Linked DNA regions of Danio rerio. The protein of the gene in region 1 interacts with the protein of each later gene in a pairwise test. Links are inferred from orthologs where the notes say so. Each region holds a gene or a part of one and is shown in the gene's direction. Other genes may lie near its edges.

Region 1 (5,151 bases):
TGCAGTTCTAGCACATAAAGCATTGGAAGTCAGGTTTAATTATTATTTTTTTCTTTCATATTAGTCAGTTCATTTCAATAGTGGATTTTAAAAATCTCTTTATTGCTTCATTATTCAGAAAATAGAGCAAACAGCCAGAAAAAAAATCACTTTCAACATTGCTTGTACAATAAAATGGTGTACATTATCAAGCAAGTTATGTTTAAACTTATGTTTTGTATGTTTCATAAAGTTATGTTTTAGAGATTAATATTATAGATTAGATCTTTTTAATTGATTAACAGAAAATAGGGATTGTAATTATTTTTTCAGGGGTTTTCACCTTTATTGTATAGGACAGTAGAGAGTATTGACAAGAAAGCATGGGGAGCAGAGAGAGGGAAGGATTGGCATAGGACCGCAAGGCGGGAATGGAACTGGGGTCGCTGTGAGCACCGGAGTGCATGGGTGGATGCACTAACCACTACACCACTGGCGCCGGAGAGAATAGGGATTATATAATCATTTTTTTAACATTAGACTGACTCTGAAAGCCCAGAATCTTATACATTGACAGATGCATGGGAAACTGTGATTTGATATGTTTTAAAGGGGTGTGTTTAAATATCAAAATCAGCCAATATTTCATTAAATATCTGCTAATGCAGGTCTAGCACATAAAGCATTCTAAGTCAGATTAAATTTAATGATTTTTTTTTATATTAGTCATTTAATTTTATAGAGTGGATTTTGGAAATCTCTATTGCTACATTATTGAGAAAACAGTGCAAACAGCCAGAAGAAAAATAAGAAAATTCACAATTTTTATACTGCAAAATGGTGTTTATAATTCACCAAGTTACGTGTATAAATATAAAAAAAACTTGACAATTTAGATTATAGATTTTAGCATTTTTATAGATTAAAAATAGACACCAACAGAGATGGAGACCCCAGGATTATGTTCACAGAGAGAGAGCTGGAAACAGTAGGACATTTTCTACTTCACTGTGATCACCATCGCCACATTAGAGTTCTATATTTTTTTTAAAGATTCAAGCTAATTTATCCAAATTTTATGGCATTATCAAATTCAGGAAAATGACCATATATTTTAGGTGAAAATTCAACAATGATCCCAACAGCAGCCAAATATGTGTCAGCCTGCCTCAATCTCTCAGCCAATGGACAAACCTATAGCAAGAGCATTTCCTGTTTATATCCTGATAATTATTACCATTATCTTAACATTTTTATTGATTTGTTTTTATTTTATTATTATTTATCTCTTGTTGTTAGAATTTTTATTTACTTGTATTTATTTACTATGTATATAATGTGCATGTACCTATTACTGATATATTCTTGACTTGTTCTATGTATTATATAACTGCTTCAGCAATACTGTGCAAGTCATACCAATAAAGCTCATTTGAATTTGCTTAGAAATATAGAACATGGATTATTTCATCATTATTATTTTTAATTAGACTTCATTTATAAAAAGCCCAAAAGATTAAACATTGACAGATGCATGGAACACAGATTATTTTATAGGTGCATGTTTAAACAGTGCATGTTCTTCCCGTGTTCTTGTGGGTTTCCTCTGGTTTCCCCTACAGTCCAAAGACATGCAGTACAGGTAAATTGAATAAGCTAAATTGGCCGTAGTGTATGTGTGTGTGCAAGAGTGTTGGGTTGCGGCTGGAAGGGCATCTGCTGCGTAAAACACGTGCTGAATAAGTTGGCGGTTCATTCCGCTGTGGTGACCCCAGATTAATAAAGGGACTGGGCCGAAAAGAAAATGAATGGATGAATGTTTAAATACAAATGAATTATTATTTCATGAAATATGTGTTCATTTCCATGCACTTCTAGCACCTAAAGCATTGGAAGTCTGATAATTTTATTTGGCAACTTTTTTGAGAATCTCTTTATGGCAATTCTCAGTTTTAGAAAAATGTTTAATTGTCATTTAGCCTGAAAATCAATTGACAAAAAGGCCTAAATCTTAAACACTGACAGATGCGTGGATTGTTTTTGCCTACAGTGTCTCGCTTAAGAGATTTAAGTTGTCATCTTACTATACATGACTGATCAGTGACTCAACGTTCTTCTATTCAGGATGTTTTTATGGAGCAGTTGTTTACATTGTGATTGATTTTAAAGCATGGCCATGTGCAGCGATGAAGAGCGCTACCGCTCTTACCGTGACTATGGAGACCGAGGATATGAGAGGCATCGGGAGCGAGCGAGCCGGGAGAAAGAGGAGCGCCACAGAGAGAGGAGACACAGAGAGAAAGAGGAGGGCAGGCACAAGTCATCACGGAGGTACTGTACCACGCTCTCAAATCAGGATACACTAAAGCTCAACCAACCTAACACAAATGACCCAAAATCTGTGTTTTTATGATTTGGTTAATCAATTGTTTTTCCATTTACTCGTCTACAAGTGGTTTGAGTTTCTTTATATACACTTAAACAGCCTAAAAAACTGGGCAAGGCCCAAATGACTTATTAATGCACAAGTAAATCTACCATGTATCCCCTTTAAGATCTTTTCTCCTCTGTGATCTTCTCCTGTTCTGTCACAGCAGTAGCAGACGGAGACATGAGAGCGAGGAGGGAGACAGTCACCGGCGCCACAAACACAAGAAGTCCAAGAGGAGCAAAGAGGGCAAAGAGCCCAGCGAGGAGCGATCCGCTGACCAGGAGAACCAGGAGGCCATGGAGTAACTCCTGCTCGCCTTCTGTCACCGCAACCAAATCATGATAAACGAAGCTGTAATCCAGTTTACCTTCTGTTCGTTTTCACGTTGCCCTTTTTTTTGTTCTGTTGGTTTTTCCCAGTGCAGTTGTAACATGTAGATGTTGATTTGTTGGATTAAAAAAAGAGCATTTGGTAATGTTTGTTGGGTCTTGTGTGTTTATTATTGTTATTAAAAACGTTCACAGTTGTTATCAGACCCTACCAAGGCTGCATATAATAGAATTAAACAGTGTTATGGAATTCTTTTAGGATTTAAAAGGCACATATGATGAAAATCAGCTATTGTGAGCTGTTTGGACAGAACTGTGTAATTATAGTGTGTCCACAGTCATATTGGAGTGATCAAATTTCCTGATGTGGACCACATGTCCACCGAACATTTGTTTAGCAAATAAACTGGAATTAAAATTTTGTACAACTCCCTTTGATTTTTTGCAAGTTTAAAATGGTTATTAAACTAATAATAAGGTTAGTAGACACTAATATGTGTGTGTACTGCAATCAGCGATGATGTGAGACTCATCATGTCAGAAAGGCTTGAATAAACTCCACAAACACATCAAATTTGCTTGGTATTTTTGACTAATGAGCTGTATTTCAGCTTTATCTGAGTCTGTTTATCTGACGTAATGCATGATGAGAACTGGGCGGGGCAGGGAGAAGCAGCTCATTTACATTTAAAGCCACAGGCTACAAAAACAGCTACACTGTATTCAGACATCAAAATGGGCAGATTCTGGGGCTATAATAAATAATCTGATGGGTATTTTGAGCTGACACTTTACAGACACATTGTGGAAACATCAAAGGCTTATTTTACAGCTTGTGAAAGAGGTAAATTAGGTGTTCTTTGAAATAACTTTTGGGTTATTTTTGGGTCAAGCAGACATTACCCCAGCCTTCAGTGTGTTATGTGATTCTACAGAAATATAATACCTATTATTCTGTGCTTAAAAGCTGTTCTTATTATCAAGTTGAACACTGGTCAATATTTTTATTATTATTAATGATTTATTGATGAATAGAATAGTTAAAAGAACATTTTTAAAAGGAATTATTTGCCTTTTTTTATCTATTTAATCCATTATTTTTAGTGCAAAAAAATTACTGGTGGAAAATATTTTATATTAAAAATAATAAATAAGGCCAAACATTTGAACGGTGGTGTATAATAGCGTATGAAATACAATGTGTATTATTTATTAAGTTTGCTACCTAACAAGTAAACTACAACACATTAAGTACTAAACAATACATTTGCAATTATGGATAAAAGGGCAATATTTACATAGCTCTTTAATGAATTACACTGAAATACAAAAGCATACTATTTATATCTACTGTACTCTAGTATAAACTTTATTAATGAGCAGCGGTTGACTTAACCATTAAGCGAGGTAAGCAGACGTTTTGGGCCCCAAGCGAATTAGGGGGCCCCAACCAATGCCAAGAAGCCTGTACTAATATATTATTAATCAATTCAATTTGTTTATTGTCATGTGCAAAGTAAGGAAACATGTGTCCCTGTACAATGAAATTCTTACTTTGCCGTCCACAGTGAAGTCATACACATATCATACACGCATAAATACACACATACATACATGCATATATATATATATATATATATATATATATATATATATATATATATATATATATATATATATATATACACACACACACACACAGAAAGAGAAGTGGCGAAAGTATAATTATGAAATGTAAATATATAAACATCTATTAATGTAAACAATATATAATAATGAGTAATGTAAACAATGTAAAGCAGTTCTTAAAATTGTGCAAAAAGTGCCTAGTGCAATTGGCTTATGCGCAAACAAACAACATTATAATGGCCGGAGCAGATTGAGTGTAATTGTATGCATTAATAGTGCAAATTGGATGGAGAATAGTGTGCTACTGAGCAGAAAATGAAACCGTTTTGTTCACTGGTTATCCGTTTAAAAGTGTGATAGCTGATGGGGATATAAAAGAGTTCTCGAGTGTGGCAGTCCTGCATCTCACTCTTTTACCTCCGCCCTGAGGGTATAAAGCTCTTTTATAAATTTTCTGTCATATGTTGTAAAATCTGTCTATAACCATTAAGATTTTAGTGTGATTGCTTCTTTTCAAAATCAGGGGCTACCATGAATAATGGATAAGCTTTTTATTTGTGAATTAATTGTATTTAAATTTACATTAAAAAGGTAAAGTTTCCACTTAAAATATATTTCTAACATGCAGTTTATTTACAAAAACAAGAAAACGAATCTATGAAGAAATATATATATATTGAGAAAGTGTTTTGAGTTTCAATCAGGTTTCAATGCGGCCCCATACCTGGGATTACTTAGGGCCCCCAAATCACCAAGTCCGCCCCTGTTATTGAGGAATGTGAG
Region 2 (5,895 bases), on another chromosome or scaffold:
CTGCAGGATGTAGAATGTGTCACCCGGTAATAGAAACTGAAAATAAGGTTGAATCTAACACAGAGCCTTGAGGAACTATTTCAGAAAGCTGATTTTGATTACATCAACATATATTACACACAGTTTTGTTAGATCAAGCTAGGATCTCATAGTTTAATGAATGTTTAAATTAATATTTAAAAGAAAGTTACATTACATAAACATACCTAGTATTGAATGAAAGATTATTTCAAAATTGGTAACACAATAAGATCATTTTACCTCATCTTCCTTTAGGTCCGGATTGCAGGCACAGACACACTAGAAGAGTCATTTGTGTAAATTACCTGGTTGGCTTTTGTCCAGAGGGCAAGTCATGCAAATTTATGCAGTGAGTAACCGTGATTGTATTTTATGCATATTCATATATGTAATTTTATTAAACAGTTTTGTATCAATTATAATCATTTGAATTTTCATTTTGCATTTTCTAGCCCAAGATTTGAACTTCCGATGGGTGCGACTGAACAGCCACCACTGCCACAACAAGTACAGACTCAGCAAAAGGTTTTTAATCTTTTTTTTTTTTCCACAAAATGTTTTAGTTGCCATGAAATATAGATTATAATCATCTTTTCTTCTTTACTGTGATATAAACATGCCTTCTGAATTGGTCTCTCAAATGAGAAGAAGGTTTTTGGGTGGGACTTGATTCAGTTTTTTAGGATTGTATTGATTGTTATTGTCCTTCTTCAGAAGCCATCAAATAAGAAATGGGAGGGCCCTTTTGAAAATAGACTCATTTTTCAATCCTCCTAGCATTAAACAGTTCAATTGTACCATTTAGCTTAGCTTAGCATAGATCATTGAATCGGATTAGACCATTAGCTTCTCACTCCCACATGGTCTAAATTTTGATATTATGGTATGTAAAATCTTTGTGCCATGCTATGACAGCTCGACAACAAGTTCCTTGATTATTACACCAGAATGAGAGTATAGTCCCTAGCCATACTATCCAAGATAGTAGCAACTTTTCATTTTCTGTTGGTCTTAGTACACAATGTAACTATGAATTTTTTTTATGAGCAAGATGGTAATGGTCTATTCCAATTCAATGATTTTTGCTAAACTAAGCTAAAAGTAGAGATGGCTTATGTGAAACTAACGTTTCAAGACAGTGTCGAGATTCCAAAGCGCAAGTGTTTCAAACACTGCACCGAAGCATGATCCGAAACACCCTGGTCACGTGACTAAAGTGTTTAGAAAAACCTGGTCACGTGACTAAAGCGATTCAAAGCATCGATCATGTCAGAAGCGTTTCGAGACCTGACGAATCTGCATTTGACTGACAGGGTCTGAAAAAATTCTGTCTCCAATAGCCTAGTGGACTGTGCGTGTGCATGTTGTCACTGTGCTTCAAATGGCTTTTGGGTTCGAATCCCGACTTGAACAAATACTCCGAAATTCAGATTTTACATATTTTAATAATGTTACTGTTTTATGGTGTAGTCTAGATAGGATACAGCTGCGGAAATGGCATCACTTCAACATAATTTTTGTAAGAATAATTAATACTTTATAAGAATAATTAATATTTTTACTTTATAAGAATAATTAATATTTGTACAGTACTGTGATGGTTGGGTTTAGGAATTGGGTAGTCGTTAATAAAATACAATAAATGGGAAACTTAATGAATACTATAAATAATCCTTTTTAACTTCTGGCCACAACCATGTCTGATCTAGCAACAACCCTGTTTTATGACCAAAACAAGACATATTTATTCACAAAGTGTTTATTCGGATATCAAACCAATGTTGAAACAAAACGATACAAGAACAAAGCATTTCAAACTGATATTAAGCATTTCAAAATAGCTGTATCAGCTGGGATTCAAACCCACTATCCCTGCATGCTAATCAGAAACTCTCTCCGCTCCACTAAATTACTTGAAGGTTCAAGCTTCAATTCTACAAAGTGGGGTTTAATACCTCAATATGCTCAACTGTTCTTTGCTGAAGTACAATACAAGCAATACAAAAAAAATACTACTAGGTGTCACTGTAGAGTGGGGTTTTGAAACATTTCGAAGCTTCGACTGTTTCAGTGTTTCATGAAGCCTTGCTTTGCCCACCACTAGCTAAAAGTGCTCCTACCAGACTCCTAGAACGGCTGAATGGATTCAAACTGTTCAACTCTGGGCGACTTGTAAAATGAGCCTTTTTACAAAAAAAAGTGGAGCATCGCTTTAAAGATAATAAACAATCATGAACTTAAAATAATTATTTATATATATATATTATGTTTATAAATAGGCCCACACAGAATCTGCGCACACAGAATTCCGCAGATTTTTAGCCCATCATTGGTTCTGTTTAATTACTTGTGTAAATGTGTGTAAATTCATATTTATTCAGTTTTTAAATTAATTACAATTTTATTGACTAATCTGAAAATATTTATATGACTTATTTACAAAACAGTTTGTGAAGTAACATTTTCTGTTTTTTAGTAGATATATGATAGACTTGTTATGTTTACTAAATAAAGTGAATCTAACTGGATCTGCATTGTAAACATTAAATACAAGTTAAAAATGTATTACTTTTTATTGCATGTATTAAGGTTTTATTTAAGATAATCCCAAAATAATTTGGCATAAATCCGCAGATTTTTACCAAAGTAGGGTATATGCCGAGCTAGTGTTCTTGCCATGCTGATAAACTTCCGGTGAGCTGTTTTTTTCTGTTTTATTTTTTCCTTTCATAGCATCAATGTTGTTATATAATCAAAATACAATCAGTTAAACAGACTTTGGTATTCATTTAGATGCTCAAGTGTAAAACGAGACAAAAAGCCGTTTGCCCGCACGCGCCCGTCAGAATCGGCAGGTTAGCGCAGAAGCTCCATTCAATATACTGGGGTAAAATAAATGCTCATTTTATAAAGACATGGCGGGGGGAAATGTAATTTAATGCGGTGCTTCTTGTACAATCTGAGACCCATTTTATATCGGATATCACTCAGCCAGTGGAGATAGCTGATTTTTAAAGAAAACAGACCTTAAATGCGCCGGTTTTCCATTGACATAAAGTTCACCGGAAGAGTTGAACCCAGGTTACTGGCAAATTAAAAGTCCTGTTAGCATGCTTCAGCATATACCCTATTCTGCGCAGAAATAGCAAAAGTGTCCGCAGATTCCGTCTGGCCCTACTTATAAATAATAATTCATTATTATATATTACAAAAACCTATCATGTTAATTTGATTCTCCAGCAGCAAAACATGCAGCCCATGAACAGGTCATCACAGTCACTCATCCAGTTAACCAACCCCAACATCAGCAACAACAACCACCAGAGAATTCCAAACGCTGTAGGGATAGTGCACTCTAACAGCCACATGGGTGGAGCTCGTGGCCCTCGCCCGCTGGACCAAGTTACATGTTACAAGGTAAAGGCTCTGTTTGATTTCATGCATAAAATACACACCCTCTCCCTCAAAATTGTGCGACCACATTCAACGTCTGCTCGTTTCTTGCAGTGTGGTGAAAAGGGCCATTACGCAAACAAATGCACAAAAGGACACCTGGCGTTTTTGAGTGGACAGTGAAGCTTTCTGTAAAAAGGATCTCCAATAAATGTGGTCATCACGTGAGGTATTCGATTCCTGGTACATTACCCTCTCACTGAGAAGGGTGTAGTTGAGTGACATAAATGTGGCTCTACCTCACCACCATCACGTATGCCAAGCGCATCACAGTCACATAACACTTTCAACAGGTAGAACACATCAGTAAAAGATTTTTATATTGAGTTTTGTTTTTCTTTCACATGAAACCTTACATACCCGATTTCATGCTTTGAAACGTGAATCTCTGCTATTTTATTTAGAGCTGGAAGATTTTTTGAATGCTTAAAGGGATAGTTCACCCAAAAATGACAATAACCTGCATGTTTTTTTGTTTATTTCAAATGTTGAACACAAAAGGAGATATTTTAAAGAATTTTGGTTGCTGTCACCCATTTCCTTCCATAGTAGGGAAAAAATTACTATGGAAGAGGATGTCAACAACTAACATTTCTCAAAATATCTTATTTTGTGTTTAACAGAAGAAAGAAATTGAAATAGATTTTGAACAAGGGAAAGTAAATGATGGCAGAATGTTCTTCTTTGGTGAACTATCCCTTTACATTTTAAAGTGATAAAGCAAAATATATGAAAGTCTTTTGGGGAACTTTTGGCAATAGCAGCCAGTGTGATCTGAAATTGAAGAGCACCGTTTTGCAGCATCAAAATGGCTTGTTTATATAAATTACATTTAAAACAGATGTTTGGGTTGTACTTACAATAAAGATTATCTGGATTTATGAGACCATGGTCTTGTTTTTATCTATATTCAATAGTATGAAAATTTGCTAGATGGTCACTTCTTCAGATGTTGGTGCTTCACAAATGTAAGACCATTTCATCACCTAAAACATAGTGTTCATAGGGTTCAAGAGTCATGGAATTTTGACATGGCATTTTTAGGCCTGGAAAAGTTTTGGAAAAATTGAAAAACCAACAAAGTTTTGGAAAAGTCATGGAAATTAGTTTAACAACTGTCTGTAAACTTAAATATGGGTTAGTTGTCTTTACTTCTTTTACATCCATGGTCAAACGCATGCTCTCACGTTGTTAGTGCTGTGTGAACATTATCTAAATACATTTTACAAAGATGTAAAGATTCATTTAAACTAAATAGATTGTTGCATGTTTTGTGGTATGCTGTAAAAACTTTAAACATGGATCTTTTTTTCTATTATTTACCACATATACGTAGACATTACATGAAACATTAGGTCATGACAATTTGCTTGAAAGTACTGGAAAAGTCATTGAATTTTAGTAGTAAAATGTGTATGAACCCTGTCAAAGCCTTTTTGCAACATATTGAATTGTGTTTTAAAATCTGTGTATATTTACATGACAATGATGAACTTTATACTAGTTTTTCTTTGGGATATTTGCAATGTTAAAAGTAATCTAGTAATTGTCTGGTAATCTAGTAAAACTATATATATATTTAAATGCAAAAACCTCTAAAAGCCATTTCATATTTTCTTCTAAAATTAGCATCTCTCTTCGACTCCTGTGTGTAGGCTCAGTAATTTCTCTTTTACAGTGACAAATAAGTTCTTTATATTGCCTTTAAAGTGAAATAACTGAAGATAAACGGATGGCATTGAGGTTTTCGCATCTGAACTCTTCATTTATAACTCCACCTTTCTTGTTTCAGCCGTCTAGTACGTAATACACATTTGCACAATGTGATAATATAGCACTTTTGCAACATACATAAAGACAATAGTGTATCAGTTTTGCCCTTATGCAGTGTTTGAATGGAGTTTTATATAAAAATATTAAACATAACTATTTGAAATCAGTTCAAACTTAGCATTTTAAGGCCCTAAAACAGAGGTGGCCAACCGTTCCTGGAAAGCCATCTTCCTGCAGATTTCAGTTGCATCCCATATCAAGCACACCTGCCTGTAATTATCACGTGGTGTTCAGGTCCTTATTAATTGGTTCAGGTGTGTTTGATATGGGTAGCAACTGAAATCTGCAGGAAGGTGGCTCTCCAGGAACAGGGTTGGCCACCCCTGCCCTAAAACATTGTGCAAATATACCACAGGTGTCAAACTCAGTTCCAAAAGGGCCGCAGCTCTGCACAGTTTAGTTCCAACCCTAATTAAACACACCTGATCAAACTAATTGAGTCCTTCAGGCTTGTTTGAAACCTACAGGTAAGTGTGTTGGAGCAGGATTGGAACTAAACTGTGCAGGGCTTCGACCCTCCAGGAATTGAGTTTGACACCCCTGAAATATCCCCTCAAAGAAATCATACTAAACACTTGAGTAAAATCT

Evidence for each region.
Region 2: the proteins of fip1l1b (region 1) and cpsf4 interact in binary tests that used the Homo sapiens proteins (3 or more experiments, as listed by UniProt). The two-hybrid records come from large-scale screens. The link is inferred for Danio rerio from reciprocal best matches to the Homo sapiens genes FIP1L1 and CPSF4.

Annotation. Positions count from the first base shown.
Region 1 is NC_133176.1:15,785,714-15,790,864, forward strand, and holds the end of fip1l1b (pre-mRNA 3'-end-processing factor FIP1), read left to right. Parts: intron 1-2,148; coding exon 2,149-2,310; intron 2,311-2,573; coding exon 2,574-2,715; 3' UTR 2,716-2,889; downstream 2,890-5,151.
Region 2 is NC_133178.1:39,238,758-39,244,652, forward strand, and holds the end of cpsf4 (cleavage and polyadenylation specificity factor subunit 4), read left to right. Parts: intron 1-276; coding exon 277-370; intron 371-473; coding exon 474-546; intron 547-3,261; coding exon of another isoform or gene 3,262-3,264; coding exon 3,265-3,438; intron 3,439-3,528; coding exon 3,529-3,597; 3' UTR 3,598-4,358; downstream 4,359-5,895. UniProt on the Homo sapiens protein: Component of the cleavage and polyadenylation specificity factor (CPSF) complex that play a key role in pre-mRNA 3'-end formation, recognizing the AAUAAA signal sequence and interacting with poly(A) polymerase and other factors to bring about cleavage and poly(A) addition.